Linked DNA regions of Daphnia pulex. The protein of the gene in region 3 interacts with the protein of the main gene of each other region in a pairwise test. Links are inferred from orthologs where the notes say so. Each region holds a gene or a part of one and is shown on either strand. Other genes may lie near its edges.

Region 1 (3,425 bases), on a different chromosome or scaffold from region 3:
CAGAAATTTCATTCATACAGCCCGGAGCTAAATGGGTGAATTTTTTACATGTGTTAAAAAAGTTTTTTTTTTTTTTTTTTTTTTATTTTTTTTTACATTGGTTTGCCGTTTGCTGGCACGCCGAAACCGACACAAAAAAAAATGTAAAAAAAAAAAAAAAAGTTTCACCGCAACGCCATCTAGCTACCGTTCGGGCTTGCCCGCGGACCCAGCGATACGACCCGGCTGCCCCGGCGCCCGTCCCGTAAAAAAAATACCTCAGTGGTTTCAAAAAACCTCAGTGGTGGTTACACATTTCCTGTTTTTTTTCCCTTTAACCCGGGCAGTGGCCTGGTATTCATGGCCCGTGTTTCAGCCCTAACCTCGAGTACGTCTTTTTTATAAAAAAAAAAAGAAAAAAAAATCTCAAACCTTGTAACCTGAATCTGTACGGGAAGAATCAAACAAATTTTGACATAGAATCAAAATAAAATACTTTTGAGAATTTGTTTTTAGGGTAATTTTATTTTTTACTGAATGTATTTATCACCGAAACTAAAAACAATGATTCACAACAATATGAACATTTTACAAGTTGTAAAACAAATAACATTCCTATATGTGAATAAAAAATAAACAAATCAATTTGAAAATACAGCACACATTGAAAGAAGTAAATGTAAAAGATATTTCATGAAAATTTAGTTTGTTAACTTCAGCCTGCTTTTCAAGAAAGAACTGATTCCATTAAGACATAATAATTTATCAGTCAGAATCCAATTCCTCAGCATTACCAAAGTATTCACTAACATTGTTTGATATAAGGCTATCATCATGCTTGGCTATCATATTGATAATCTCAGGATCCCTGGAAAGAGCTAAGGCTTTGTTCCCTTCACAATTTAAAATGTTTGTTTTTGCTCCACTTGAAAGTAGCAAACTAACAGCTTCAATTCTACCTTTCCAAGCAGCAGCATGAAGTGCAGTGTCTCCTAATTTATTCTATGTATATATAAACAAATATCTATTAGATTATAAAATAAATAATAAAATTAGGTAAATTAATTACTTGAGCATTTAAATCAATTTTTTCTGATTGCAGTAATAGTTGCATGCAAGAAATATGTCCTCCATGGGCTGCCCAGAACAAGGCTGTATTACCTGCTTTATCGAGTTGCTTAAAAAAAAATAATGAAACTTCAGCATCAGTTATAACTCCTAAATGGAGCTAATTAACTTGCATTCACAGACACTCCATTGAGAATTGCCTCTTCTAAAAATAAGACATTCCCACGCCGACATGCATCATGAAGGGGCATTGTTATCAACTCAGCATTTTCTTCAACTGACAGAAAATGAAACAGAAAATGTGTTGATTGTTTCCTTAATAACACTTTTCAATGGATAACAATATTTGATTCAAGTTACCATAATTGCAGGGAATTAATCCAGTACAGGTACCACACTTAGCCTTTAGCCAGTTAGGGTCTGAGGAGGATTCCATGACATATAACAACTCTCCTTCTTCAAATGACAGTTCATCAGGCTAGGAATATGAGCATGTTAATTAAGATTATTTCTGAAGCCTTAATTGTTAGAATTGTATAGCAAAAAAATAAAACTTACATGCTGTGCCGTATAGGCGTATAATGCTTTAACGACTTTCACTTGCCCTGTCATGACATTTCAATATTATTGACACATTGACAGAGGAGGCAGGGAAAACTTTTTTAACTGTAAATTGAAGTGTTGAATATTACTAATACCTGGTTTTGGAGGTTTCGGAGGAGGTACATTCATTTTTAATTCAAAGAAAATATACTTTTAAGTATTCACAAGATTTATTTCAATTTAGGTTTTTTCCAAAGTAAAATGGTTTTTCATACGTCCATAAGGCCATGAAGGGGGAATGATAAGGAAGGATAAGGCACGACTGGGGTTTTTTTCATAGAGGGCGAACCTAGCGGAATTTTTTCACTGGCAGACCAAAACACCAAACTGCTTTTCGGCGCGGATAAGAGGATTGCATTGCATGTTGTAAACTTCCTCCCGATTGGCGATTGCATAGAAGTCTAGAACTAATTATTAGGAAATAACAAAACCGCATGCTCAACCTTTTTCGATGCATAATTAGTGGTACAGATTGTTTGCTTATCTCCTGGCAAGTAAGCAACGTAGGCAGTAGGCAATGCAAGTATAAATATTCATTTCTTGAATTCTTTTCAACAATTTTATCTTTCCTTCGTCGTATCGCAGCTTTTCCTGCATTTTATATATCAGAGTGAAAAAATTACATCTGACAAATTTGCTTGTAGCCTATTATATGTATATATTTACTTATAATAGTGCAAAGGGTTTTAGTTTTAATACCGCAAGTGGAAAAATAAATCGACTTATCGAGAAGCTTCCTTTCGCTTCCAATTTCGCACAGCAGCCAACCATATAACCCTGTTTTTTGAAAGCCTTGCCTTTCGTCAGTGGTATGGAGTATGGACTATGGAGAGATGGTTTCCAGCATCCATTTTTAAAAATTTCCCATAAGGGGCCGTCTGCTCATTTTACTAAAAGGTCGAGTTGACTGTTTATATGTCGCAACTCGCAACGTCCTAGATGGCGTTGATTCAACTCGACCTCCATACAAAATCGCTAGTAAAAAAGTAGCAAAGTAGCTTGCCGTCGAATCCCCTTATGGGAAATTTAACATGGTCATTGGCATCCATCTTTCCATACCCTTGCTTTCGTTTATTGTTTAGTTTATTTCCTGAAGAGGCCTTTATCTGTTTGCGAGCATGGCGACATGCGATTGGCTCGAGTCTTGTGTTGGCGAGAGGAGAGATAATATATTAAGGAATTATATAAAATAAATTATTATTAATATTAACTAATTTAAGCTTAGTAATAGCTTAGTTAAGTTAGAGCACAAGTTCGTAATCCAGTGGCCGTCTGAGACAGCATTTTCAAATTTGGAATTGGAACATTTTCCACGAATGGGAATGGAGAAATCAGGCTCTGTCCCTAAACTGCGAAAGCGAAACGCGAAACGCGAAACGCCTAAAATGCGGAAAGGCTGTGCGAAACGGACCAAAATTTTTGGACCGTTTCGCGGGACCAAATGCCGGAGGGCATACTAAAATGCGAAACCTCAAAATGCGAAACGAAAATGTTTTCTTTTCCCCACCAGAGTGCAAATTGACGGATGAGGCCCGTTTAGGCCGCCATGTTTCATGACTCATAGTATATGTAATGTGAATGTATGTATGGATATGAATGTGTGTACTGTGTACACTATATATTAACGAATATTACTTTTCGCTAGAGTTTTGAAAATAAAATGTTTGTATTTCATGGGAAAACAGTCTTATCAAATTAAATTTATTTAGTCGACTCGATTACTCTTGTTTCTTCAAGAGCACGGGGGTCCCTCGGATGAGCTCTTGAATGAGAAA
Region 2 (4,232 bases), on a different chromosome or scaffold from region 3:
TCTTTTTCCCAGGTTGAGAAAGCGGAAACCTAAAATAAAATTTCAATACTACGTGATGAATGAAAACAAACAAAGTTTTGCACTTGCGCTACCTCTTTCTCTGCCAACATGGCTTTAAACTGCTGAACACGATCCTCGAGGGGAATCACAGCTCTCTGCTGAGCAGCTTTCACCTCAGCCTCCATGGCAGTATCTTTGGTAGGTTCTTCGATTCTAACCTCTTCAATGACTGTAAATAGAGATTCTTTTCATTAAATTGTCTTTGGAAAATTTGAATGATGTTACCTTCGTCATTGATTTTGGATTTCTTTAGAGGAGGTTCATCGGTTCCGCTTTCGCTTTTCTTCTTTTTATCTGGCTTGATTTCTTTAATTTCATCTTTCTTATCAACTGCAAGGATAAAAACGTTACGAGTGCCACATTTCAAATTTAAAGAGTAGATATTGATACCTTGTTGAGGACTGTCATCGGGGACATTCGCTATCAACTTGTCGACGTCAGGTCGGTTTTTCAAATCTTCTGGTTTCTCCCAGACGGAAGAACGGGTACTTGGATTGAAAAAGAATACTCTTCCGTCACCAGTCCAAACAACGCACCTTCATGATAATAATAATAGTTGTATATATTGTAACTAAACTCCTTTAAAACCAATCGTACCATGGAGTTCCAGGCACCGGAGTGCTAGAAACGGGTCTGCTCTTGTCTTTCGGTACTTTAACTTCCTCTTTTTCCTTTGTTTCTTTCGCTGGTTCTGCCTTTTCAGATTCGGAGACTTTGGGTTCCTCTTTTTTCGCAACCTCGGGCATTGAAGCAGGCTGAACGGGTTGGGCAATTGGGACAGAAGGAGTGGCATGAACTCGGGCTGCTGCGGCAAGGCGAGCCACTACAACAAAGAGAAAACTTGAGAAAAACAGAACAAACAATAATAAGTTGGGAATTACCTTCATAATCTTTCAAAGCCTGTGGTTTTTCCCAAACACTCGATGATGATTTCACATTAAAGTAATAAGGCTTGCCATCAGGAGAACGGTATTCGCACCATTCCATTGCTTGTGACAATAGTATGGGATCAGTCTGAAAAACAAAACGCATTAAAAATTTGTACTGGATAAAAACTTGGTCAAAAGATGATTACCCCTGGATCAGATCCCAACATAACGGGATATGGAACAGGTCCAGCCGACAATGCAGGTGCAGGTGTTGGAGCCACTGCACCCCCCATGTTCCAACCTGGAAATTTAAAAAACCCTTAATATTATTTCTACTCTAGTTAAAATGAAACTAAAATGAATACAGACCTTGATGTGCTGGATAGAATGGCTGTTGAGCTCCAGGTCCATAGCTACCACCTTGAGTTGGTCCAGTTGGCATAGCCACTCCTGCCATTTAAATATAAAAATAAGTTTCGTTTTAAGGGCAATTATAAATGATCTTACCATTTTCTGGGGGCTTTGATGCTGCAGACTGTGCCATTGCTTCAACCTAGGAGTGAATAATAAAATAAGTTCAGGTTCTATTTAGGAAAGATGACTGATTTTACGAATTACCTGCTGCTGTGTCAAAACCTTTACGTTCGGCCCCTCGGGTCTAGTCCAAGTAGTCTCTCTTGATTTAGCATGATAATAATATGATTTACCATCTCCTGCTTTCGTTTCAACCCAGACTTCGTCAGTTGATGCGTCGATTTCACTAACTGGAGCTAGATGAGATTGCGGTTGAGACTGATGGGGTTGCTGGTATCCACCAGGTGCAGGAGCCATCCCAGATCCAGGATAACCAGGATGACCACCTATGTAATCCATTAGTGAAAGTTGAGTACCATGAAAAACTAAACACATTTCAAGACAACTTACCGTTACCGTATCCATGTGCTGTAGGCTGTTGAGGAGGCATATTTCCATAATGTTGATTATGGGGAGGTGGTACATTACCATAACTCGGAGGTGGTCCTTGTTGTGGTGGGCCACCCATGTAGCCCATGCCACCACCGTTTGGTTGATTAGGTGGACCTTGCTGTAAGTAAGATGTTTGTGAGTTATTGGACTACTGTCAACAGAGGCAACATTTCCTGACTTACCATATCCCATCCACCAGAGCCATCCATTGAATCGCCATTGCGACCACCATTCTGTTCCTGTGAAAAATGGGGTCTCATCTGTCGAGGATAATCACTATAGCCCTGCATCATATTTGGAGGTGGCCCTCGTGGCCCTCCCATCGGGCCCATACCTCTTGGTGGTGGGCCTTGGAAACGCTGAGGTGGACCTGGACGGGGGCCATGGAATCCACCATGTCCTCCTGGTGGTCCTCTCTGCATAAACGGTGGACGGGGGCCCATTGGACCACCTCCACCAAATGGTCTCATGCCAGGTCTCATGCCCATCGGTCCTCTAGGCCCCATTCCTGGTGGGCCTCTAGGTCCACCATAATGCTGTTGTTGATAAGACATGGGTGGGCCAAAGTCTCCATCATCGGCGAAATTCTCCTCATTTGCATTAGGGCCAGTGTTAGAGGGTCCCTCGATGAAAAATGAATCGTTGTTTTCGGACCCTGCAAGACAACGTTCAAATAAACTAGTAAGTAACGAATCTTGCTTTTTCTAGAGGAAGTGTCGTATAATAATCCATCAGATATATTTACCGCTATCCATTGTAGATAATTCAGATACCAGAAAGAATGATTATTGTCAACAACTTTTATTTAAACAAAATTTCTATTCCGGCGATGTGAGATTTGCTTGAGTCACAGCATTTTTGACGACCATTACTAAAGTGACGGTAGTTTACCAAACTGACGGTAGAGGGTGGTGAACAAGCAAAGCAAAATTAGCGCGAAATTCTTTCATGTTCAAATAGTTTAGCTTATGGATGATTTTACCAATTCTTTAGTTCATCGCGTTTTAAGTATTTGGAGTTTTGTATCGCTTTATTACACACATTACAAAGATTTTCTTGGCCAAAAAAAAAATAATTTAGGGAAGACATAGAGTTTGCCGACCGTGCTAAGCCATGGCTAGACGTTAAGATCCTTTTAATAGCTTTTGCTACCGCTTTCTTCGAATTCTTGAAAAGTTATTAAATTGTTTAGTGAGGTGTTCATGCAGAAAATGTCCAATTAGATGAAACGATTGCGCAACTGTTGTGTGGGGTCAGTTATGTATTGGCAATATTGCATTAATATTGAAATGTTAACAAAGAAAAAAGCCAATAAAGGATCTGACTTGGATCACTCATCTACCAGTTAAACTGTGATGGTGTTCGTTATGTTATACATGTTATATCACCTCTCAAGACATTGAGTATAAATCGTATAAAAAGTATAAATTCCACTCGCGCGGGAAGGAGAGTATCAATATAAGTTGCTCCAATTTTTGGATAGAAATAGAACATTTAAAAAGGGAGGTTTTAAGTAACATGTCGGGGTTTATATAGTACTATTTAATATTCTAATCTATGTAACATTGATATATAATTAAATGCTTGAAGGTAACATGTAGTATAGAATATGAAGAGATCAGTCACTCATATGTCTTGACCTGGTTGGTAGCGTGAGTTGAGCGCAATTGAATGATATTGCCATCAGACTCATACTTTGATCTAGACATTCATTTGGCAAAGGATGTGATAAAAATGTGGTTCAGGTATCATAACTCTAAACGCATGAAATACGTTAGAATAATGTTATAAATTGTCACGAGCTGAGCTTGTCTACTTGGATCATGAAATCCTAAATTTACAAGAATAAATGTCTGTTGTAAAAAGAGATAAATTTTTAAAAATATGAAAGCTGATGAACAAAGATGATAAGAAATAACAGTTCAGTAGGAAAAGGTGAGTGAATGATTGTCTTTATAAATTTTTGAAAATATGTGGAAAAATTGGCTTTTTCTTCTCCTGTGAATGCAAAGTAGAACCAACAACACAACTTGGTTGCAATATAGGTGTTCCAACAGGTCCTTTTACGGGTAGTGATTGATATGAAAGATAATAATTTAACGATTTATGAACACAAGTTCCTTCAGTCAAGGCTTGAAAATGATGGGTATAAATAACATTTTCCAATAAAAAAGAAAAAAAAAAAACTTAAGTTAGGTCATGGTTTGATGCCATGTCTAATAACTGTGAGAAATCCCACATTTCACCAGGAAATGTGTAGTGATGCAAAGGAAAGCCTCTACCTAATATTAATATCTAAAAGCAGCAGGTGACCAATTGAATTAGATGACTAGCTAA
Region 3 (3,500 bases):
AGAGAGTAAACATCTTGGCAGTTGACAATGCCACACAAATTCTACGTTCCACGACTTACTTTGAAAATGGTTGGAGTTAAACAACAGGCAACTGTGGGTCTTGCCGTTATAAATTCACTTAAAATACGATTCAAGATGTCTGCTGGTGGGAAAATATCACAGGTTATGACGGGCATAATTCGCCCCAAAAGCTCCGCCTCTAGATCTGTTCCGCGCTTCATTCTGAGGAAATGGAAAATTAAGAAACAGATACAAATTAATAACTAAGTAAACAAGAATCATCTTATTCAGCTTTACCGTTGGAACAGGGCGCCCACCCATTCCATAGCGGCGAGCATCGTTTCAGGATCTGCTCCAGGTTTATACAATTGGCTACCAAAATCTTGAAAAAGTAAATATTGGTTTGAGAGGAGTGAAAAAACAGAGTCAGCATGAAACCCTATACCTGAATAGACTAATGACAGCAGAGTTCGTAGTGCTGGCTGTAGAATCCAATCACAATCAACATTGCGTATTAAATTGAGAACCTCTTTTTTAACTTGCGTTCGCCAAATCGGAGTCAATACGCCTAGAATGCTCAGCCGTTCTAATCCCTATAACGAATCAATAACGAGATTAGCCTACAACATAAGATCTTCAATAAATTCACGAAATACCTGTAAAATTTCTTTTGGGATCTCGTTTGATTGTTGTTCGTTTTGCACAAGCCTACTAAGAGCGCACTGAACAACAAAATCGACGACAGCATAATTCTGATAGGGCAATACTGCAAAATGTTCGCCGCAATAGAACGCTATTGACCAAACGAAGGACTGATGCCAGGTCGGACCATTGTGTTCAGGGCTTAATATGATATTTCAAATAAATAAACAGACAAATTTCTTTAAACGTAAAGAGATGAATCACACCAACCTGAGACATTTACCGACATAATCCATAGCCAGGTTGACGAGAGTGCCTGTACGAGCAAGATCTGGATTTCTGGCAAACTTTTGAAGTAGATACAAAAGACCATTTAATCCACTAGTTCGCGTGGAAATATGCTGGGAATTCAATGCGGTTTCACAGTGCTTTTTTACTAATTCCCAGTATTCCATATTCTGAGACATGAAAAAATAACAATACATTATCACAAAACTTCAGATTTCAGATGAATTTTGTACCATGGGTATAAAAGAAGCAGATTTCAAGATGCACCCTACTAAAGCGGACTCTAAGCTCGCAGGATCATCAGGAAGAAGTTGCCTGTGTAAGGTTAAGGAGTTATCCAGCATCCACTCAAACTGTTGAACATCGACAAAGAAGTTTGATATGTGCACTAGGGATTGAAACAAGTCCACTAGCAGCGGGTACGGCGTATTCTTGAGAAAAAAAAAGAAAATGTTGAAGAAAAATATCATTATTTTCTACATAGAAGATTAAGGTTACCGAATTCTGAAGCCACTGTGAGTAGAGATCCACTAAGAAGCGAACACAGGATTGGATATCTATATCTGTAACATCTTCGGGACTAGTAGCCTTCTTTTTGGATGGTGAACCTTGATCAATATTATATTGAATGTGTCTGAAGGAGTGACGATTGAGCCAATAACTGCAGGAAGATGATATCGTGTAATCTTCTTCTAGCAAATTGCAGAGTTCTTTCAGCTTCTTGCCCCTTCTACAATATCCATTAAAAATATTGACAATTAGCTATAATTAAGCGAGATTAAATAACACATTGGCTTTACTCAGTTGACGTGAACTCAGGAGGCTTGTCTAGTTCATTATTTTTCACAGATCTTGGCGTCTTAAATGGTAGATTTTTTTGAAGCACCATTGTAAGAGCTCGCACGGCTTCACATGTAGCCTTTGAATTCAAATGGTTTTTCAAAAATTGTAAGAAAAAATTACCAACTCTGTTATGATACCTGGATGACGCTTGCTTGTTCTTCGGGTCTCACTTGATCCTCATTGTGTAAGTTCAAAATGCCAAGAAAAGTCATCCAAATTTCTTCAAATTTCTTTTTGGTAATCCAGCTAATTTGCTCGATTCTTTAAGAATAAGTAAGCAGTCAGCATGATCCAAGATCCATTTATAAGAAAATGTCCCAAAATTACCGGAAAACGAATTCTTTTAAAACAACTTCATCATGCAGAAAATGTGAAGGGATTATTGGTAGATCCAATGTGATATGTTCGACATCCAAATTTAGCTCAGGATTCCAGCCTTTGCTCCAAGCGGATGGCGGAATGCAAATATAGGAATAGAAGAGTGGCATTCGACAAAACACAGTAACAGTCGACCTGAAAATAGTAGAAAAATCTTAATGAATTGATTTATCAATATTCAGAAATACAATTTACAGTAAGTCTTGATGAAGTATTCCTGGAATGTTTGATTCTTGTTCGATAAATCTAAGTATTCGGTTTAATTGTTTCGCACTCGAAACAAAGTTTGGATCAGGACAAATCATTTGCTCCAGGCCTAAATGAAAATTCGTTCGTTATCAAATCTTCAACTAAAGAAGACAATTTAGGATATTTACCGGTAATAGTAGGTTGTTCTAGAGTTGCATTGTTTCTTATCCGAATGCAAAGAGACTCCAAACAATGGATTGCCTTGTAAACAGCCGGTAGATTCTCTTTGTCTGTCCATTCAATTGCAAGTTCACGCCCAAATATGGAAACAATCTCAGAGGACGCCTGTAGAAGAACTAACGAATGGGAAAGCGAATCCATCGCACCAATTAAGGTAAGCGGTGTTTTAGCCAATATGGTGATTTCGGATGCAGTGAAAATATCGTTGACCTCCGATGGTGAGATGGATTTGCACAATGCACTGAGAATATGAGCGATTGACAGGATCTAATGGAAAAAAATGAGATGCTCATTTCATAAAAAGATAAAACCGTTCAAAAAATTAATAGCATCCGAAATCGGCGTACCTTAGAGTTGTCGAAGGCTTCGGCGGTAATCATATTTAAAAGGTATGCCTTGGCATGGTAAAAAGCATCATATTTCAATATTCGACTTCCAAGGACATATAAAAGGAAACTATGATTGCTGCACAATAACGGAAAGTCGTCTGTGTTTGTCTGAGCGACGATTTCTCTCCACATTAAAGGTTCTAACTCCCTAAATTATGAAGACGATTTAGCAAGATAAAACCAGAAAATAATTTTTAAACCACCTTTTCAACGCAAAATCCAGCACAAACGCCTTGTCGATATCTCGCAACATGCTAGACCTATTTTCAAAGGTAGCGCTTGGAACTGCTGTGATCTCGGAATACCATCTAAAAAAGAAAATTGAAGATGTCATAAAACGTAGGATAGTAGGTGGGCGAGTGCCAAGAACCTTTGATTAGCTGACTGAAGAACGATTTTTTGTACATTTTCCAAACAACGAAGCTTAGATTCAGAAGAAGTGAAATTTGCGTTTAGAACAAGTTTGCACATTCTTCTGTGCACAATGCCACTGGAAATTGTCTGAAAACTGGAAATGATATGTAAAAGAAT
Region 4 (3,921 bases), about 2.4 Mb from region 3:
AGAGGAACTTATCAAAATGTCAACCAATGTGACTGCCAATTTGAGAAGTATAAGTCAATCCATGGCTAGTGTTCTGGAGCAAAATAGAGGAACTCTAGAAGTACTTGGTATGAACAATTAATCCATTTTTTTTTAAATTTAATCAATACTATAAATTAATATATTGTGTAGCTCAATCATCACATGCTGTGAGTGACAATCAGGATGAGTTTAAAGTTATGGGAAGCGCCTTAACAACCACAAAAAAGTTGGTCTCCCGGTTTGGACGGAGAGAGACGACCGATTTGATTTTAATTATTCTAGCTTTGGCTGCATTCTTTGCAGCTTGTGTATATGTCATTCAAAAGCGCATGTTCTAGAGATAAATTTGTACATCAAGATTTTTTGAGTTTCTTTATTCAGTTCAGAAAAATACGAAAACATCCTAGAATAATCAATTACGCAGTTATGTGCCAACCGAACAAAACACCTTCCGCATTACATTAAATGCAGACGTAATGAACAGATGAAAATCAATTTATTCCGGATTCAAACATTCGCGACGCGTAAGAAATCAATCTGTTTACTTGGAGTCAGGCTTTTTGCCTTGCTTTTTGTCTTTATCTTGGTTTCGCAAAGCGTCGACGGCAGATTGTACAGCATCACTTGAAGGATCAACACCTGGAAGCGTTTCTAGGACACTCTGAAGAAATTCGGGATCTTTCATAACTTCATCATAATCATCACTAGCCGCAGCTGCTGGCGTTGGTTCTACTTCCATAGCTTCGGTTTCCGTTTTTACTGGTCCCTCTGAATTTTATATTAAATTATTAGTCTACAAACCGCAACAACATATCACCTTACAAAGAACTTACGAGCTTCTGCCATGGACATTTGCATTGCATATGCAATTTGTTCCTCTTCAGTCATTGTTGCGAAATCGGGATAAACGGGTGCTGCAGGGGCGGCACTGGCTACAGTTGTATTGACACTTGGTTGATCCATAGACATAGCCAACGCACGCTCGAGCATAGCATCTTCGTTGGAAGCAGGGGCACCGCCAATAGTGGTAGCTGCAGCGGGCTCTGTAGCCGGCGGATTTCCCGAACGACGAGCTTCGTCCTCTTGACGCTGACGCTGCTCCTCCATCGACACTCGTAACGCCTTTAATAAGAAAATAATTTTAAAATGAAATAATAAACTATTTAAATAGTGATAACACTTACGAGAGCTAATTCAGGATCTTCATTAGGATCGACAAATTCAAAACCTCCAGCCCCCATTCCAACCGCTCCTGTACCATCTTCTCCTTGAATGACTGGTGAGGAAATCAGCGCATCGGCAAGATGGGGCCCTTTAAACAAAAAATTGATACTGTAAAAATATATACATCCTTTAAAAGGATTTGTAAAATTACCGGGTGGAATGGTAACTAAATGACTGCCAGTGCCATCTTTGCCATTAAGAGTATTGATAAAACTAGCCAGCACTTCAGTTCCTCCATTCTAATAAAATCCAAAATCATGTAAGAAATTACCGAAATAGTTATTTAAAAAACAAAGAAAGAACTCACTTCCTCCCCAAAGCAAATGATATCAACATTAACTTTTTCTTTCTTCAGTTTTCTGGCCAATTTGTTCAATTCCTTTTCATCGAAATTCAGGGGGGAACCTATGAATACTACAATTCTAGTTCGATGATTTTTCCCTTGCCGATGTTTAAGAGCGAGCTATTAGACAGGTAAATTAATATTAGATAACTCAAGAACACAATACTTCAAAATAAATATTACATGGGCAATTCTAACTCCTGTTAGGAGATTGATTGAGCCTTCTGGCTGCACTTGATGAAGCTTTGATAGTATACGCCCAGCATCTGTAGTCAATGTTGCCAGTACCTTGGTGCTGAAATTTAGTGAGGCAACACATCAGTTAGAGAACAAATTGCCGTACAACTTAGCGAAATGCATACTTGGCCAATGTCAGTAGACCAACATTATTTTCTGGGTTAGATCTTGTTTTTGAATGACAAACCATATTAACAGCATCTTGCTGGGCTTGGAGTCGGCTAGGAATGAAATCTCCATTTCGCATGAACTCGCTGTTATCCACACTAAAATTTAAAAATGCCGCATTAACTCAGAAAATTGCAAGTCAACAAGCCTAAAATTCACTCCTCAAGTAGAGCAAATAGATAATCCAAAACAAAAAAATTACTCCCATAATTTGGAATGATATGACCCTTAACTGTTACTTTACCAATTTTCAAATTTAAGATAAGATAGAAACCGGATTTATTTACCAGATCATAGTACTTTCGAGCACCATTTTTGCTTTCTCGATGAAAAAAGTTGTTCAGTCGATGTAAATTTGTGACAATTCATGCGGGGTTGCCAGGAAACCAAAGAAAACGAATTTATCACGATTCTGAATTTCCCGAGTTTTGGTTGGTCCGTTCCTCGTTCTGTACTTCTGTTCCAGTCTGATCTACTAATCCTTTTTTAGGATGATTAAAATTTTTCAGCCTAATCTTTCTTTCAGAATTTATACTTCTCGCGGAGAGAAGTTAATTTATAACCATTTTGTAATTCTTGTAGCTACTTCTTAACTAGTTGGATGCCGTGACGGACAGCGAATTTTCTTTTGTAATTAATTATTAATTTACGCACTAGATACATAAACAGAACTGAATTTATGAGCAAGTTGAAATAAAACAAACACTTAGATAAAAATCAGAAACTTCAATAGTAAATAAATTAGTTAATCTAACAAAATCTGTTAGCTCCTGCTTGGGTTTTTAATGGATTTAAATTTGCAGTATTTAAAATTACCAGTTCACCAATTTAGATCTTACACAAATTTCTACGTTTTATTTATCACCTATTTGCGCTTCCATACGCGGTAGCACAATTCACTTACGTTTGGATATAAAGGAAGCGGTAAATGACGACAAAACCAATTTGTTTCAAAGGATCAGTATTCAAATCACATTTCACAATTTATTCATTTTACAATATCTAGGTAGTTAATGATGATGAGCACATGTTTACACAAACTTAGGATGGGAATATGAAAAAGGAAAACTCAAGTTCATAATTACAAATATATAGATACAAGGATGTCTTCATAAATTTAGTTGTTCCTGGCAGGTGTAGAAGCAGGATTGTCGCTGAAAATGCAAATTTCAATCTGTAGAGATAATTAAGTTAAGGAATGTTTATGTATGAATGGCGTATAGATAAAAATATTCAGTAAAATTATGTTAAATTAAAATTATGTGAAACTAAGTATTACCACATCTAACGATTTTAGGTTTTTTACCATTTGATTTAATATGATTGATACTAGGTATTTTGCTATAATTTTTAAATGTGCTACTTAAGAATAAAACATACAACCTAGTAGCAATTAACTAAGTTTTTTTTAAAAGGATACAACTCTGAGTCCTCGTTCAACAGGGTCAATAATCAGTAGTCCTCTAGGTACATAAACTCTTTCATTTTGTTCAATGATAAATTTGGCCACCTTCTTCAAACACTATAAAAAAAAAGGATGATTAAAGTCAAAATCTAGAGAAGTAGATTCTTACTGGACTTGCCTTCTCAAAATGAGTATCACTACAACAGTATAGCAAGTATGCAGTCAAGCATGCGAAACATCCCTCACAGCATGAGCTACAACTCATTTTTTCTGCTTCTGCATATACCTCATTAAGAGTATTAAGAGTGTACTCAAATTTTTCCCTTTCAATCTAAAACAAATGAATACAGTATTAGAACAATTAAAATGATTTGATAATGATAATAACTGTATATAAATAATTCTGGCATGAGTGCACAATCCAACATGCACACACACCGATTATTTATTTTGACTGCTATTCAACCCTGAACATTAAACAAAATGAAAAACATTTATTTTCTTACCTTCCCTTCCAGTTCTG
Region 5 (3,996 bases), on a different chromosome or scaffold from region 3:
CGTAAAAATCCAGGATACCGTTTGCACATCTTCATTAAACAAAGCTAAAGATTAGAAAACTGAATCTAACAAAAAAAATTAGAAACTCTCATTACCGCTTCGACTTCCAGTTTGGTAATGGTAGGTGCCAAATTACGGAGAAATATGGAGGCAGTCCGATGCAATTCTCGGGGAAGAACTGGCCCGCCATTTTCCTTTTTTTCTTCCTCCTTGCTTTCATCTTCATCAACTTTTTCTTTGGCATCATCTTTTACTGGAATTTCATCAGCTGCTTCGGTTTCCCTAGGACTACCCTCACCACCAGCTGGCTTACCATCAGGGCTTTGAGGAGCTTCAGATATTTCCGATTGTTCCTTTCCTTCCCGCTCCCAGTCGCTTCCACTATCCGATTCAAATCCGCTTCGTTTTCTTTTGCCACCTATAAAATAAATATAAAAAATACTGGTAAGGCAGTGCGTCAAAAATTAATAACAATGAATTCCTACTGTTATTAGGACTTTTTGGGTCAGAGCTAATTTCCATTTTGGAGTCCTCGATCACACCATCTTCTTTAGCATCGTCGCCTTCGCCCAAATCATCATTTTCTTTATCTTCAATCTCCTTGATAACCTTCTCTTGGATTTTAATAGGCTGCTTCAATTATGAAAGTGAAATGATTTTTAAAAAATCAGTTATAACCAATTAAAGGAAATTAAATAGACAAACCTTATCGGCGGTTGGTTGAGGAGGGTTGTCAAGGACCTGAAGATCTAACTCATTCCCACCTTCGAGTTTAATTACCACGGTGTCAAGAAGTTTTACTAGCTTTTCTGACTGATCCGCATCGATAGTCACTTGATCAAAAGAACCCTCAGCCATTAAATCCAAAATAGTTTTCATGCGTAACTATATTGAATTAATTGATTAGTTACAACCAGAATCTGTCAAAATTAGAGACAACTTACTTCAATATGAGCTTTATGCTCGTTCTTCCGTTTTTGATTCTCTTCCGGGTGATATTTCAACTTAAACCTACATTCGTTCGAGGAAAATATAATAAAACAAATTAGTAACAGAATTAATGTTGAAAACTTCGAATTAAAATAACCAGCTAGGGACCACACTTTTCAAGAGGCCAAGATTTCCCTCACCTGTTCTCCCGGTACGGATTTTTTATAACCTAGCTACTAACTGACCACTGCATTGCGCGCAGTTGAACCCTACTCTAACGCACACTTTGGAGATCTGTTCATTTCATGTTCACACAGTTAAAAAATTGATTTTCAAGTAGCTTTTGACAGATGGTATGGCACCTTATAGAAAGGTCGGAGATGGTTGAAATAAACGGAGGGACGTCAATAGCAGCTATGTCAATCGGCTGAAAAACAGGGGGGATTAAATATATGTAAATTGGTTATCCGAAATCCGATTACACGCGGCAAAACTTATAAATAATTTAGTTACCAGAAAAATTCAATGCAATACACAACACACAAGTCTTTAAAAGAAAACTTATAAGAAATTCTTAAAATATTGATTAAATTTGATATTAACACTTGTAAAAACAAGAAAAAAAACAAGCAAAAACATACCACTCTTCATCCTTGTGGCTTGTGAAAAATTCATTCAGCTGCTGACGACGAAATTCTAGCTTGTACTCGGCATACTTTTTAACTGCTTCTTCGTCAGAGATTGAATCATCGTGGGCAGCCAGAAAAGCTTTAAAGGACATCATTGGTGGTTGAGTAGGAAATTCTTCCCCTCTGGAAAATCAGGCATTATTTATTATTATTATTAACCCTACACAACTAACAATTACCATAAAAACATTACCTTGAAGAAGATCCACTAAAGTTTCCAGCGTTTGGTGGAGTATTAATGACTGGTTCATTCTGACCCCATGAAGAGCCAATGTTGGGCCCATAACCAGCATCAAATCCATAGCGCCTGTCTTCCCTAAAACCATTTTACAAGATTAATAAATGGCAGCATAATATTAGTATGAAAAACATACCAGTCAGGCCTCATCCTTTTTGGAGCTTGTGGTGCATCATACCCACCTGCTGGGCTGTATCTTTCACGACCTCTGTAAGATTCGCGATATTCGTGACGTGGTTGAGAACGAGACCCTCTTTGAGACCAAGATTCACCTCTTCTCGGTTCCATGATGCCTCTACTTTGAAACATGCATTGGACTAAACAGCTTAAAAATAACAGAGCATTTGTCAAACCAACCTATCATTCCACTCTTCTCTCCTAGGATTGCCTCTTTCTTCTCTCCTTCCAGATTCTCCAGCTCCCCGGTACTCACTTCGTTCTCCTCTAAACTTATCCCTTCTGCGACGATCATAATCATCATCACTGTCCCCCATGGTACAGGTTGGTGACCTACTTCTTAAGCTATGGAGAAAAAAAAGAGGAAACTTTAGTTTAATGTTTTATAATATTAAGCATCAATTAATCAACTAATAAGTAAAAGTACTGCCAACTAAGTGGCAATATGGCCGAAAATGCAGATGATTTTTGATAAGAACAATTCGATGTACCGGCATACTCAAATACCAACGCAAGTAAAATAAAAAACTTAATTTCACACACAAAGTTACAGAACTCGCTATAAAACTATTGATGTTCATAAATTTCATATCTTCTTCGAACTTTACCCAAATTTGCGTTTAGTTTGATTTCGCCACGCGATCAGAAGAAAACTGAGAACGCCGTTGCCCGTTGGTGCCAACGAAAGTTTGAGGAATACAAGTGCTGTCGCCTGCAGGGTAAAACTGTTACTGCCTTATGATTTGAATAATCAGTAACTGAAGAACATGGCTTGGGCTGAGAGACAACTGACAAGCGACATAGGCTAAGGCCGCTAAGCGCTAAGCTAGTTAATTTCTTGTAATAACTAATAAGATAACAAAAAAATATATTTTCACCAATGTTTTTTTCTAATAATTGGATCATTTATGAATTAAACTTCTAATGTACCTAGTAAGAAAGTAGTCTTAAAGATTTTTTTATTAACACCATTGGCAAAAGCAAGATTCAACTAGCTATTACATTCTATTATTTATTTTGTATTTGTTATGAATTTTATATTTTAATCCTAATTATAGCTTTAATTGATCTAATGATAAATTAAATTGTCGTGGCGCCACATGCTAGGCTAAACCATCGCACCGTTCGTAGTGTGTACACATGCCGATCCCTTGCTTCGCGCGCGAGTTTCCCGATAGGGTGTTTTTTTCACGGGGTTTAGGTTTTTTGGGGGGAATTTGTCAATATTTCCACCAATCATCAATTTCTCATTTTTCCACCAATCAACAATTTCTCATGAATCATTTTAATGGCATTAAAATAGATCATGAATGTGGAGAGAACCCTTATGATGCAGTGTCATTTGCTGTGAAATCGGCCCTTTATGCAACATAAATTCCATCTATTAAAATATCAACCATGGATGGATATCAACATGAACTGGAGGTATTCAATAACACTCATACTCAGGCTCATCGTTGTCGAAAAGCACTTGGAGGAGGAATGCGGCAGGCGGGTATTTTGGCCGCAGCCGGAATTTTGTCACTTTCAAAGGGACCTACCAGGGTAGCTCAAGATCATATTTTCACCAAACAATTGGTCAATTGGCTGTTACTGCGCAAGAGGTTGGAAAAAGCGTTGTGGAAGTTGATCGATATACCGTAGAGACGAATATGGTTATGCTAAAAGTCGAGCCCATATCAGGTGCTACCCCTAATTCAATTGTGAAAAGATTTGCTGAATCTACTGAAAAGGAAGTTCACGGGATCGGTCAAGATATTCGTTGGCTTGCTTACCCGATGACTGAAACGAACATCATAATTGTTGTTCACTGCAGTAACCCACCTGAAGACATCAATCTCGCTCAAGACAAATAAGGGTATGTTTTTGATGAAATCAATCAAAGTAACGCTGTATAAGTAAACTGGAAGCTTCATAAGTGCTTTATTCCATGTAACGATCATTACAAACGTAGTATTGTTG
Region 6 (4,174 bases), on a different chromosome or scaffold from region 3:
GACTTTCTCCACGAAGATGAAAATCTCTTCCTGTCCCGTACAACAACTATAGACCTTATCTATTCGGACGATGCGTAAGTCTCCAGCATGAGTGCTTTCTAGATTTTGAAAAACACGGTAAGATTAGGTTAGAACAGTATTGCTGCGTTAGTAAAATTCCACTTCGTTTAGAAAGACTGAACATCCACTTCATGTTTAGGACTTCCAATCAAATCTCGTATAAATCGAAATTCGAATTCGAGTTTTTCGAAACTTAAGATGAAGTCTAACTTAAATTGACAAAATCCAAATTCGCGGGTCAATTGAATTAATAGAAAATTTGAAGGTGAATATTCATTGAAGTTATTGCGGATATTTTTTTATGTGTACATTAATGCTGATTTCCGTAATTTTTTTAAATAAAATCATATGTAAAAGTATCAAAATGTGTGTCATTCAAAATACTTTATAATCGTTTAAAGAAGCACAGACAGGATAACAATTTTATGGAAACCTTTTAAATTTCGATTTTTGTGCTTTTATTCTTTAAATGATTAAAAAGTAATTTATTTTGTCTGTACTAACCATACAAATGTTTTGTGGATAAAGATCTTAACATAAATTGATTCGAATCGATTTAAATTAATTTTTTTTTACTTGAATCAAATCAATGTGATTTTTTTACAAAAATTCTCAATCCGAAATGAGGTTTCACATGTAAATTGATTTGAGTGGATTCCTACGTTTAACTATTTAAAAATGACTTTGCTACTTGGATTTCGAAGGCGTCATTTTTTACGCTTCTGAAAGTGGAGAGAAATAATCGAAACAATAAAAAAAAGAGAGGTCACCGTTAATTAATAGAAAATGGAATAAAAATGAATAACGCTCAAACTCCTCGGTTATTGTTGTTTTTCCATTAATATACTTAGCTAGTATTAAAAACTACAGTACGTGCATAAAAAAATACGAAATTTAGGACGACGAATTAGATTTTCCGTTTTCCTTTCACGCTTCTTTAACGCGGTAGTTTTAATTAGCAACATTTTCCACTACTATAGATATCTTTTAAAACTTACTTAAATTGTGAATAGCTTGGGAATATTGAGGTGGGCAGATCTGTTCACGAAAACCGTTTTGTTCCACAAAGGCCTCAAACTTTAGTTTAACCGAATGAAGATCCATTGTATTGGCTATCTTGTCTGCTTCGTCCTTCAACTATAATGACCGGGGATGAATGTTAAATAACTTTACTAATGCAACAACAAATAAGACTACTTAAAATAGAATATAATCATTGAAAACTCCATACCTGTTGCCCTTGGTTACGATTCATGGGTGCATTCCCCAGTTCATTTATCAAACGCCTTTCAACCACCTCACGGACTTGTTTTTTCGCTGTGTGTATAATTGTTAAACCGGAGAAACTTTAAAACAAAATATTTAAAAAAATTTATTATTACTATTATTAACAATTTTATTGAGTAGCCTATACATACGTTGCAGTCCATTCGTTTTTACCAGCGGAGACTATCATTTCTTGGTATTCTCCTTCGTTCCCATTGTTCCCATTGGAGTTTCCTTCCCCTCCAAGACGATGGACATGTGGAACAGGTTTTGAACTGTTTGTAACTAATGTACAACGAATAATAGCTTCTCGATCTTGACAGCCTTCCAACTAAAGACAGTCATTTAGTAATACTGGCATTAATATTAATTCTAAATAATTGTGAATAATTGGCAAAATGAAAATATACCAATACAAAACTGACTAATTCTAACACAACTAATATGTGTGACAGAAATAAGTGTCAACTGAAAAAGTTGAAATACAGTTCTATAGGTGGAATTATCGTACACTGTTTTACAACGGCATAACATTAAACGCAATAGCAGGAATCGCTTGGCGTTAACCCCTACCTCTCTTTTTAAATTAAGGTATTCTGACTTCTGAGTTATAAAGTGGAGATTAAAGATCAACAGTTTTGAATGATAATTCAACCCATATATAATTTACTACAACCTAGTAATTATAATTAAATACTTAAGATTCCAGATTTGAAATTATGGATGAGTTGGTAAATATTTACATTAGCAAGTGAAACATACTTGAACACGAATATATTCTTTTTTGTTCCGTTCCTTGCTTTCTGCCATAAGACATCCATGTGTTCCAGTCATTTCAGAGGCATAACGAAAACGAAACTTCCCTTGTGGTTGATTAAGTATAGATAAACATGGGGATAGCCTGCCTGGTCTGATAGGAATTGAACTGGGAGAATTTCCTGTAATAAAATGAATCCATATTTTACACAATTTTAACATAAATTCATTCTAAAAAACTGCTGATTACCCATGTAGGCACTGTTTGGTGAGGCACACATCATAGGAGAGTTTCCACTGGAGAAGCTGTGGCTTATCGGAGAACTTGAGGAATGTGATGATTCAGGTGAGTAAGGACTACTACCAATTGGTTGATGCATTCTTCATAATTTTAATTTTAATAATCATACTTATTAAATAACATTTGATTATATGTTAAAGAGATATAAATGATATAATGTATATCAACAGTCAACACAGTTCATAAGATACACAACGGAACTAACCTTGAATACACGAAAGAATTCTCGTATTAATTCAACGCAAACGAATTAGCTAAAAATCATTTCGATTTGCGTGTTATATTCAACAAAGACCGTTCAAACTGGAGCCTTTCACAAAGTTACAAAGTTTTATAAGTAAATTTAGCACTGCTCGCGCAATCTTTAGCCTGAAGCTTCATTGATATGACAGAAGGGGAAAACCCATGTGTATAAACAAAACTTTCGATTATATTCCATAGTCGGAGTTGTAAAACCTAAGACCTCTGTCGGCGTAAAATTGAAACACAAACAATTATAAATTGTAAAAAGTTAAAAACCTTTAAAGTAAAAAATTAATTTCTCAGCTAATTTATATTTAATATTTTTTTAAACTTTCATATGAAGCCGTAGTTTTTCTTTGGATAAATAAAAATGTGAATTTGACAACACAAAAAAAAATCTGCCGCAGCGGACAGCGCCATAACTCTCCGCTTCTTAAATGTACATTCTAATTCCATACGCTATGTTTTCGAAAACTGGTGGGTTTTTCCCCTTTATTTGTGGATACATTGCCTCATGTTGCACTCGAGAGACGTCCACTTTCCCAGTCCATAAATGTGTAATAAACAAACTTTCGGTGGTATGCACATGTTACGTTTCATATCTCGACTTTGATTCCAACACCAAAGATTAGCATGGCAAGTCGCTGGTGCATTCATTAAATCAAATGTTATCGAATATTATATGCAAACAGCAATGACGTGCGCAAATTTTGCAATATTTAAAATAATATAGTATGGTATTTAGAATATTCCATGCACAATACCGTTGAAAACGTTCATTTTTAAAATAGGCTACAATTACTTTTATAACAAAATTTATTTACAGGTGTTTATAATCAGACCCCTCGTTCGCTTTCGAGTTTCCAACTTGGTCTGGGTCTGACCTCTTTTGAATTTTTTTAACTCGTTTGTTTTTAATAAATTAAATTAAATAGTTTTAGATTCTTGCTAGGGAATTAAGAATTTATGGTCAGTACACTTCTAAGGCTTATCATCAAAATGACCGCCATAATCTTGTCGGGGATAGCATGTAAGAAGGGTAAACAACTAAAGAATAATTTTAATATAAAATAGACTAGATTGTATTTGGGCTTGAAGTAAAAATTAAAAGATGACCAATTGAGTAACACATCTAACGGTACAGGCAATAAGTGGGAAATACTTAAATATAGGTACAAAAATATTAAAAAATTGCGAATAACATTGCACCGTGCGACTTGCGTAGCAAGGTTCCCTCCGGGCTTTTGGTGCAAGAAACGGAATGCAGATCCCTTGCTTCGCACGCGAAGTATAGAAAGAAGTACAATTGAAAATAATATATTTACTTCCCACAGAGAAGCAGTAACGGGCGTGCAGCACAAAGATTTCAGATTTTCAGGTACTTAAATCACAGATAAAGACACCATAAGTCTTCTTTATCTATGCTTAAATTAGAGCTATAGACTCCTAAAATCTTTGTGCTGCACGCCCGTTACTGCTTCTCTGTGGGAAGTAAATATATTATTTTCAATACTTCTATGAGAAAATGTCTTTGCAAACGAGAGAGGG
Region 7 (4,249 bases), about 1.1 Mb from region 3:
GCTTCTTCCTCAGCTTTGGCAGCTAACATAAGTGAAATGGATCTACGGCAGGCATCGGTAAATACTTCTACTAAAATCGGTGATCGATCCGAGAGCACCTATGTCGAAAAAGAAAATTGTAATGGGGGTTCACTCATTTTTTACCATTGATAACTTACCTTAAGGCAAAGCCCCAATCTTTCAGCATCGTCATTGCTAATTGGTTTCTGAGGCAGTCCCGAACGACCCAAATGAAGAATCGCTGCAATCACTAGCATGGCTTCGGCACAAAACTGGTTTTGCGTTTGCGGGTTCGACACTTGTTGAACAAAACGTAAGGCCAGCTTTGTCATAGTTGTAGCCATTGATGCACCAATGAAGAAATCGCCTTCCATCAGATATCTACAAAGAAATTTAATTATGAATGCAATGCTAAATGGAACGACATCAACAGAATTGACATACTTTCGAAGAGGAGGCCTTTCTTCTTTTTTGGCGGTTGTTACGGCAGCACTGAAGATAGACTGCGTAGCGTATGTACCATCTGCAGTTACCAAGCGGGCGCTAGAAGCAACAGGATTAGTAACGCTCCCAGTTCCCTGTGCTAAAGGATTTTCCGGATCGGTCTGCTCTCCTGCTGCTTTTCGGATTTCGTCATCCACGATTGGAATTTCGCCAAGCGATTGTCGCACTTTGGACATAACTGAACGAATGTCATCAGCCGAAGTGGCGTATTCGCCCAAGATCCAAATTGCTGCACGGTGCACCTTGACGGATCTTTGAAAAAAAAAAAAACATCTAATGTAGAATTGCTGCCAGTAAAAACGAAATGGAGTTATTTAAACTTACTTGATGGAAAGAAAGGCTTCTAAAAGTTTTTCGATGATTAATGGACGAAGTCCTTCGAACTTCTGAATCGCTTCGCGAACAAAGACCAAAACATCGGCGGCTGCTAGCTCGTTGGTGTCGGAAAGGAATTCAGTCAGTACAGGGATGACGGTCGCAGAAATGTCAGGAAACTTGATGCAACACGAGTGAAGAGTGCGCACCAAAAGTTGCCGATACTTTCCCGTATCTTCATGCTCGGTTGTGTTGTGCGTCTTTGTTACCTCCTACAAGATAATTCATCAATAGAAAATTATTCCTATCGATTTACCATTTCACCGGAATTCTTACCTTTTTCAAAACGAGCACGATATCTTCTATGTTTCGCGAAGACACTAAATCAAGTATAAGGGATAGTGTCTTCTTTCGTACTTCCAAATCTGGAGTAGCCAATACCCGCAAGATGTCCATCACCAATTCCTGAAATGAATTACATAATTAATATTTTGTAACATGTGAATGATTAAATTCAAGATACCTGCAAGACACGTTCTTGATTCGGCTGCTCTTTCAAGGCGATCAAACGATCCAGCACAATCAACTTCACATTATTGTCGCTTTCCTTTAAGATAATTTCGATGTAGCAACTAGCAGCAGCTGTTCAAGAAGAAGAGAAAACATATTAAGTTGGAAACCCAAATTAAATATTAGTGAATATGAATAATACCTTTAATAGCCGACGGTGCGGACGATAAGGTTACTAGAGTGCCAGCAGCTTCGTAGCGAACGGCCGGACTGGTGGCATTCAAGAGACTGTAGATACAACGAATGAAACGCGATCGCTCACTAGGATTGGCGTGACACACTTTGTAGATAAGTTCAACGATGACCAATTGCAGAATATCACCGAAGGAGTGAACCTAACAGATTTTGTTTTCCTTAAGTTTGTTTGGAAATTGGAAACCTTAAAATAGTTCTATTACTTGATCGATGCAAGAGGTAAGATAGGAGAGCGCCCTTTCTTGGTCAGCGTGAATCAACATCATGAATGCATTACGTTTACAGGACATGTCCTGTTCACGTTCTAGAAAATTGGCAATCAATTCTGGCCCGTCAGGAATGAGGAAATCAAAATTGCGGTAAATTGTGTAAATTGCCAAAACAGCATTGCGTCGAACGTAAGAATGTCGGTGCTCCAAACACGACCTGATCGATGGCATCAACGGTTCTAAGATTTCAGGTTCCTAAAAAGTAAATTACAAAAGATTAGCTTATCAATAAATTAAGGTATAAAAGAAATTGGCTTACCTTAAGCTTGCAAAGAAAACGTAATGTTGATCCTCTAATAAATTCATTTGGATGTTGCAAATCTCTCCTGTAAGCATCACAGACGAGAATCATTTCATGCAAGAGTTTTCCATCTGCTGAAGTCTTTGGAATGATTTCCCAGAATATCAACAGAAGTTTCTTGACATTATGATCCTGAAGTGGCAGCACAAATTTGACCACTGCCATGAGGATTCCTGGAATCTTTTCTCCATTTAAAATTATGTAAATGGCCTTTTTTAAAGCATCAATCTTGGCTTTGATATCTCCAATTTCCAACTCTTTTCGCAGCTGATCTGGAGGTGGATAGTCAGAATCTGGAGTACTGATGAGGGTATAACAAGGTTGCTCAGTCACAGACATCTGTAAAAACAAAACAATACATGAATCGTGAAAACTTGGACCGGTTTACGCTCGATGAAATGTTATTGTGACAGCGACCCGCAACCCATTCGAAATCTATAACGATGGTATTTGTTGAACACTGAATAACGATTCCAAAATGTCGGATGACTTGCCTTGATTTCTTTGTATTACAACGGCTTGTTGTGTTTTCTGTGTGAGCCGTAACTATATGAAACGAAGGAAATTCACGAAACCTTTGACGTTGCAGAATGTCAGAAAATACCCACGTCAGTCGGTAAGCGACAGATCTTAATTCGTAAAATTGACAACCACGCAGCCATGTTGCCATTATGAGTTTTAATTTTGACGTTGTTTTTTTGTTATTTTTATTCAAAATAGATATTCAGTCCCAGCTTGTGTTGGTTTCCAGATTTTCCAGGCATACTCTCTCTCTGTACCATCAAAACAAGAGTTTTTGTGGGTTTCCCGGATAAACAATGTGTCAACTGCCTAGTCATCGTCACCCATGTTTCTCTGAACCACTGTGAACTTCTTCGACACGTTTGAAGCAGGTTTGAAGACCAGCACCAGTCACGTCTCCATCTTCGGCAATGGTCAGTTTGTTTTCAATGTGTAAAGGTATTTTGATGGGAGTTAGTTAGAATTTTTCGTCCATTTAATCGGCAAAGCCTTTAAGAGACGATACAATTTGTTCTTAGTTATTTGATAATAGAAATGTTCGTTCGAAATAGAATGTGCAGATGGCCACAATCTCCATACCTTCACTGCTTCACAATATGCAGATTGCATATTAATCGTCTTGCCATTAATCACAGAAAATTAGAATTGGAAACGATTAGCATCCGAAGGTACTGGCCGTTATATCTCTATTTCGTAGTTACCAGCTTTAATACGTTTAATATGGTCGTTACTTCGTTGGTTCGCTCGGCTCACTGTAGCCTATAGCTAATCGATATTAAATATTTATGTTTTATGTTATTAGCATCAAATGTAATTATGTTTGTTCAGGATACTTTTCATTTATTATTTATTTTCATCGTTTTAAACTAACTGAGGCATTGAGCAAAAGGAATCATGGAAATTTCCGCGACTATCATTGTTGCGTCTACGATGATCTTTCCTTAAAATTTGTTTTTTTTGTGTTGGTAGGCCTTCCATCTAAAAAAAGTTCAAGTATTCAAGTAAAATATCTTTAAATTTTTAAAAAACGTTTTATAATGCAAACATGTTATATTTTCAACGTAAAAGAAATTATCTTATATTTAAAAAAAGCGTGTGGGTAGAATGAGGCCATCCTCACGATAGATAAACATCACGCTTTCCCGTAAGAGGGAAACTAGGGTCTTCTTCTTTTGACGCCACCGGCAATCGGAAAGACATTTGATTTTTTCCTCACAGGCACCACAGAGCATGATGTTACAGCTAGCTATAAAGAAAGACAACTGCTGTTAGTGAACAGACGGCTCCAAGTCATCGGCCAGTATACAAGACTTTCTGATTTTCGAGTTCATTTTTAATTGGGGTGTCGTCATTCGCTGTTGAGAGTTCATCATGCGATTGTTCCTTCTATTTTTAGTTTTTTTGTTTGTATCGCCTGTTTTGTCACATTTCAGTGAAGGTAAGGAATTCACTGAAAAGTCCGTTAATGTCGTAATTTTACCCTTCAAATAACCTTACTCGGAAACTCTCACGCTAAGTTTTCTGATAACTGTTATTGTATTGCTATCGCTTCCAAGTGCCTTGCCCCTTACCA

The links.
Region 1: the proteins of huntingtin-like (region 3) and osteoclast-stimulating factor 1-like interact in binary tests that used the Homo sapiens proteins (3 or more experiments, as listed by UniProt). The link is inferred for Daphnia pulex from reciprocal best matches to the Homo sapiens genes HTT and OSTF1.
Region 2: the proteins of huntingtin-like (region 3) and transcription elongation regulator 1-like interact in binary tests that used the Homo sapiens proteins (3 or more experiments, as listed by UniProt). The link is inferred for Daphnia pulex from reciprocal best matches to the Homo sapiens genes HTT and TCERG1.
Region 4: the proteins of huntingtin-like (region 3) and 26S proteasome non-ATPase regulatory subunit 4-like interact in binary tests that used the Homo sapiens proteins (3 or more experiments, as listed by UniProt). The link is inferred for Daphnia pulex from reciprocal best matches to the Homo sapiens genes HTT and PSMD4.
Region 5: the proteins of huntingtin-like (region 3) and serrate RNA effector molecule homolog interact in binary tests that used the Homo sapiens proteins (3 or more experiments, as listed by UniProt). The link is inferred for Daphnia pulex from reciprocal best matches to the Homo sapiens genes HTT and SRRT.
Region 6: the proteins of huntingtin-like (region 3) and nuclear factor NF-kappa-B p100 subunit-like interact in binary tests that used the Homo sapiens proteins (3 or more experiments, as listed by UniProt). The link is inferred for Daphnia pulex from reciprocal best matches to the Homo sapiens genes HTT and NFKB1.
Region 7: the proteins of huntingtin-like (region 3) and coatomer subunit beta-like interact in binary tests that used the Homo sapiens proteins (3 or more experiments, as listed by UniProt). The link is inferred for Daphnia pulex from reciprocal best matches to the Homo sapiens genes HTT and COPB1.

What each region holds. Positions count from the first base shown.
Region 1 is NC_060022.1:6,869,850-6,873,274, forward strand, and holds osteoclast-stimulating factor 1-like, read right to left. Parts: upstream 1,935-3,425; 5' UTR 1,780-1,934; coding exon 1,746-1,779; intron 1,653-1,745; coding exon 1,606-1,652; intron 1,526-1,605; coding exon 1,408-1,525; intron 1,325-1,407; coding exon 1,221-1,324; intron 1,157-1,220; coding exon 1,049-1,156; intron 982-1,048; coding exon 745-981; 3' UTR 501-744; downstream 1-500.
Region 2 is NC_060019.1:12,732,122-12,736,353, forward strand, and holds the start of transcription elongation regulator 1-like, read right to left. Parts: upstream 2,801-4,232; 5' UTR 2,651-2,800; coding exon 2,641-2,650; intron 2,551-2,640; coding exon 2,078-2,550; intron 2,014-2,077; coding exon 1,854-2,013; intron 1,790-1,853; coding exon 1,548-1,789; intron 1,483-1,547; coding exon 1,437-1,482; intron 1,380-1,436; coding exon 1,299-1,379; intron 1,231-1,298; coding exon 1,136-1,230; intron 1,075-1,135; coding exon 942-1,074; intron 884-941; coding exon 658-883; intron 597-657; coding exon 451-596; intron 391-450; coding exon 286-390; intron 230-285; coding exon 93-229; intron 30-92; coding exon 1-29. UniProt on the Homo sapiens protein: Transcription factor that binds RNA polymerase II and inhibits the elongation of transcripts from target promoters. Regulates transcription elongation in a TATA box-dependent manner.
Region 3 is NC_060020.1:1,047,203-1,050,702, reverse strand, and holds part of huntingtin-like, read right to left. Parts: coding exon 3,340-3,500; intron 3,278-3,339; coding exon 3,173-3,277; intron 3,118-3,172; coding exon 2,928-3,117; intron 2,848-2,927; coding exon 2,529-2,847; intron 2,468-2,528; coding exon 2,347-2,467; intron 2,287-2,346; coding exon 2,101-2,286; intron 2,035-2,100; coding exon 1,911-2,034; intron 1,850-1,910; coding exon 1,731-1,849; intron 1,661-1,730; coding exon 1,429-1,660; intron 1,362-1,428; coding exon 1,164-1,361; intron 1,101-1,163; coding exon 913-1,100; intron 844-912; coding exon 657-843; intron 594-656; coding exon 446-593; intron 383-445; coding exon 298-382; intron 223-297; coding exon 60-222; intron 1-59.
Region 4 is NC_060020.1:3,405,142-3,409,062, reverse strand, and holds 26S proteasome non-ATPase regulatory subunit 4-like, read right to left. Parts: upstream 2,434-3,921; 5' UTR 2,307-2,433; coding exon 2,281-2,306; intron 2,092-2,280; coding exon 1,951-2,091; intron 1,884-1,950; coding exon 1,772-1,883; intron 1,709-1,771; coding exon 1,553-1,708; intron 1,485-1,552; coding exon 1,397-1,484; intron 1,334-1,396; coding exon 1,206-1,333; intron 1,144-1,205; coding exon 855-1,143; intron 790-854; coding exon 563-789; 3' UTR 501-562; downstream 1-500. Other genes in the region: vesicle transport protein SEC20-like, read left to right, coding at 1-107, 172-359; golgin subfamily A member 7-like, read right to left, coding at 3,111-3,167, 3,414-3,515, 3,577-3,729, 3,905-3,921. UniProt on the Homo sapiens protein: Component of the 26S proteasome, a multiprotein complex involved in the ATP-dependent degradation of ubiquitinated proteins.
Region 5 is NC_060024.1:618,478-622,473, reverse strand, and holds the start of serrate RNA effector molecule homolog, read right to left. Parts: upstream 2,801-3,996; 5' UTR 2,643-2,800; exon of another isoform or gene 2,526-2,642; intron 2,380-2,525; 5' UTR 2,352-2,379; coding exon 2,215-2,351; intron 2,156-2,214; coding exon 1,994-2,155; intron 1,936-1,993; coding exon 1,813-1,935; intron 1,743-1,812; coding exon 1,572-1,742; intron 1,012-1,571; coding exon 945-1,011; intron 886-944; coding exon 706-885; intron 634-705; coding exon 486-633; intron 419-485; coding exon 96-418; intron 30-95; coding exon 1-29. Other genes in the region: uncharacterized protein R102.4-like, read left to right, coding at 3,433-3,638, 3,746-3,890. UniProt on the Homo sapiens protein: Acts as a mediator between the cap-binding complex (CBC) and the primary microRNAs (miRNAs) processing machinery during cell proliferation.
Region 6 is NC_060019.1:3,340,688-3,344,861, forward strand, and holds the start of nuclear factor NF-kappa-B p100 subunit-like, read right to left. Parts: upstream 2,801-4,174; 5' UTR 2,589-2,800; intron 2,492-2,588; exon of another isoform or gene 2,464-2,491; 5' UTR 2,463-2,463; coding exon 2,333-2,462; intron 2,265-2,332; coding exon 2,089-2,264; intron 1,658-2,088; coding exon 1,479-1,657; intron 1,407-1,478; coding exon 1,292-1,406; intron 1,198-1,291; coding exon 1,059-1,197; intron 99-1,058; coding exon 1-98.
Region 7 is NC_060020.1:2,118,638-2,122,886, forward strand, and holds the start of coatomer subunit beta-like, read right to left. Parts: upstream 2,801-4,249; 5' UTR 2,649-2,800; intron 2,494-2,648; coding exon 2,113-2,493; intron 2,049-2,112; coding exon 1,788-2,048; intron 1,725-1,787; coding exon 1,532-1,724; intron 1,462-1,531; coding exon 1,343-1,461; intron 1,285-1,342; coding exon 1,156-1,284; intron 1,092-1,155; coding exon 829-1,091; intron 757-828; coding exon 445-756; intron 382-444; coding exon 159-381; intron 99-158; coding exon 1-98. Other genes in the region: uncharacterized protein LOC124192347, read left to right, coding at 4,048-4,114. UniProt on the Homo sapiens protein: The coatomer is a cytosolic protein complex that binds to dilysine motifs and reversibly associates with Golgi non-clathrin-coated vesicles, which further mediate biosynthetic protein transport from the ER, via the Golgi up to the trans Golgi network.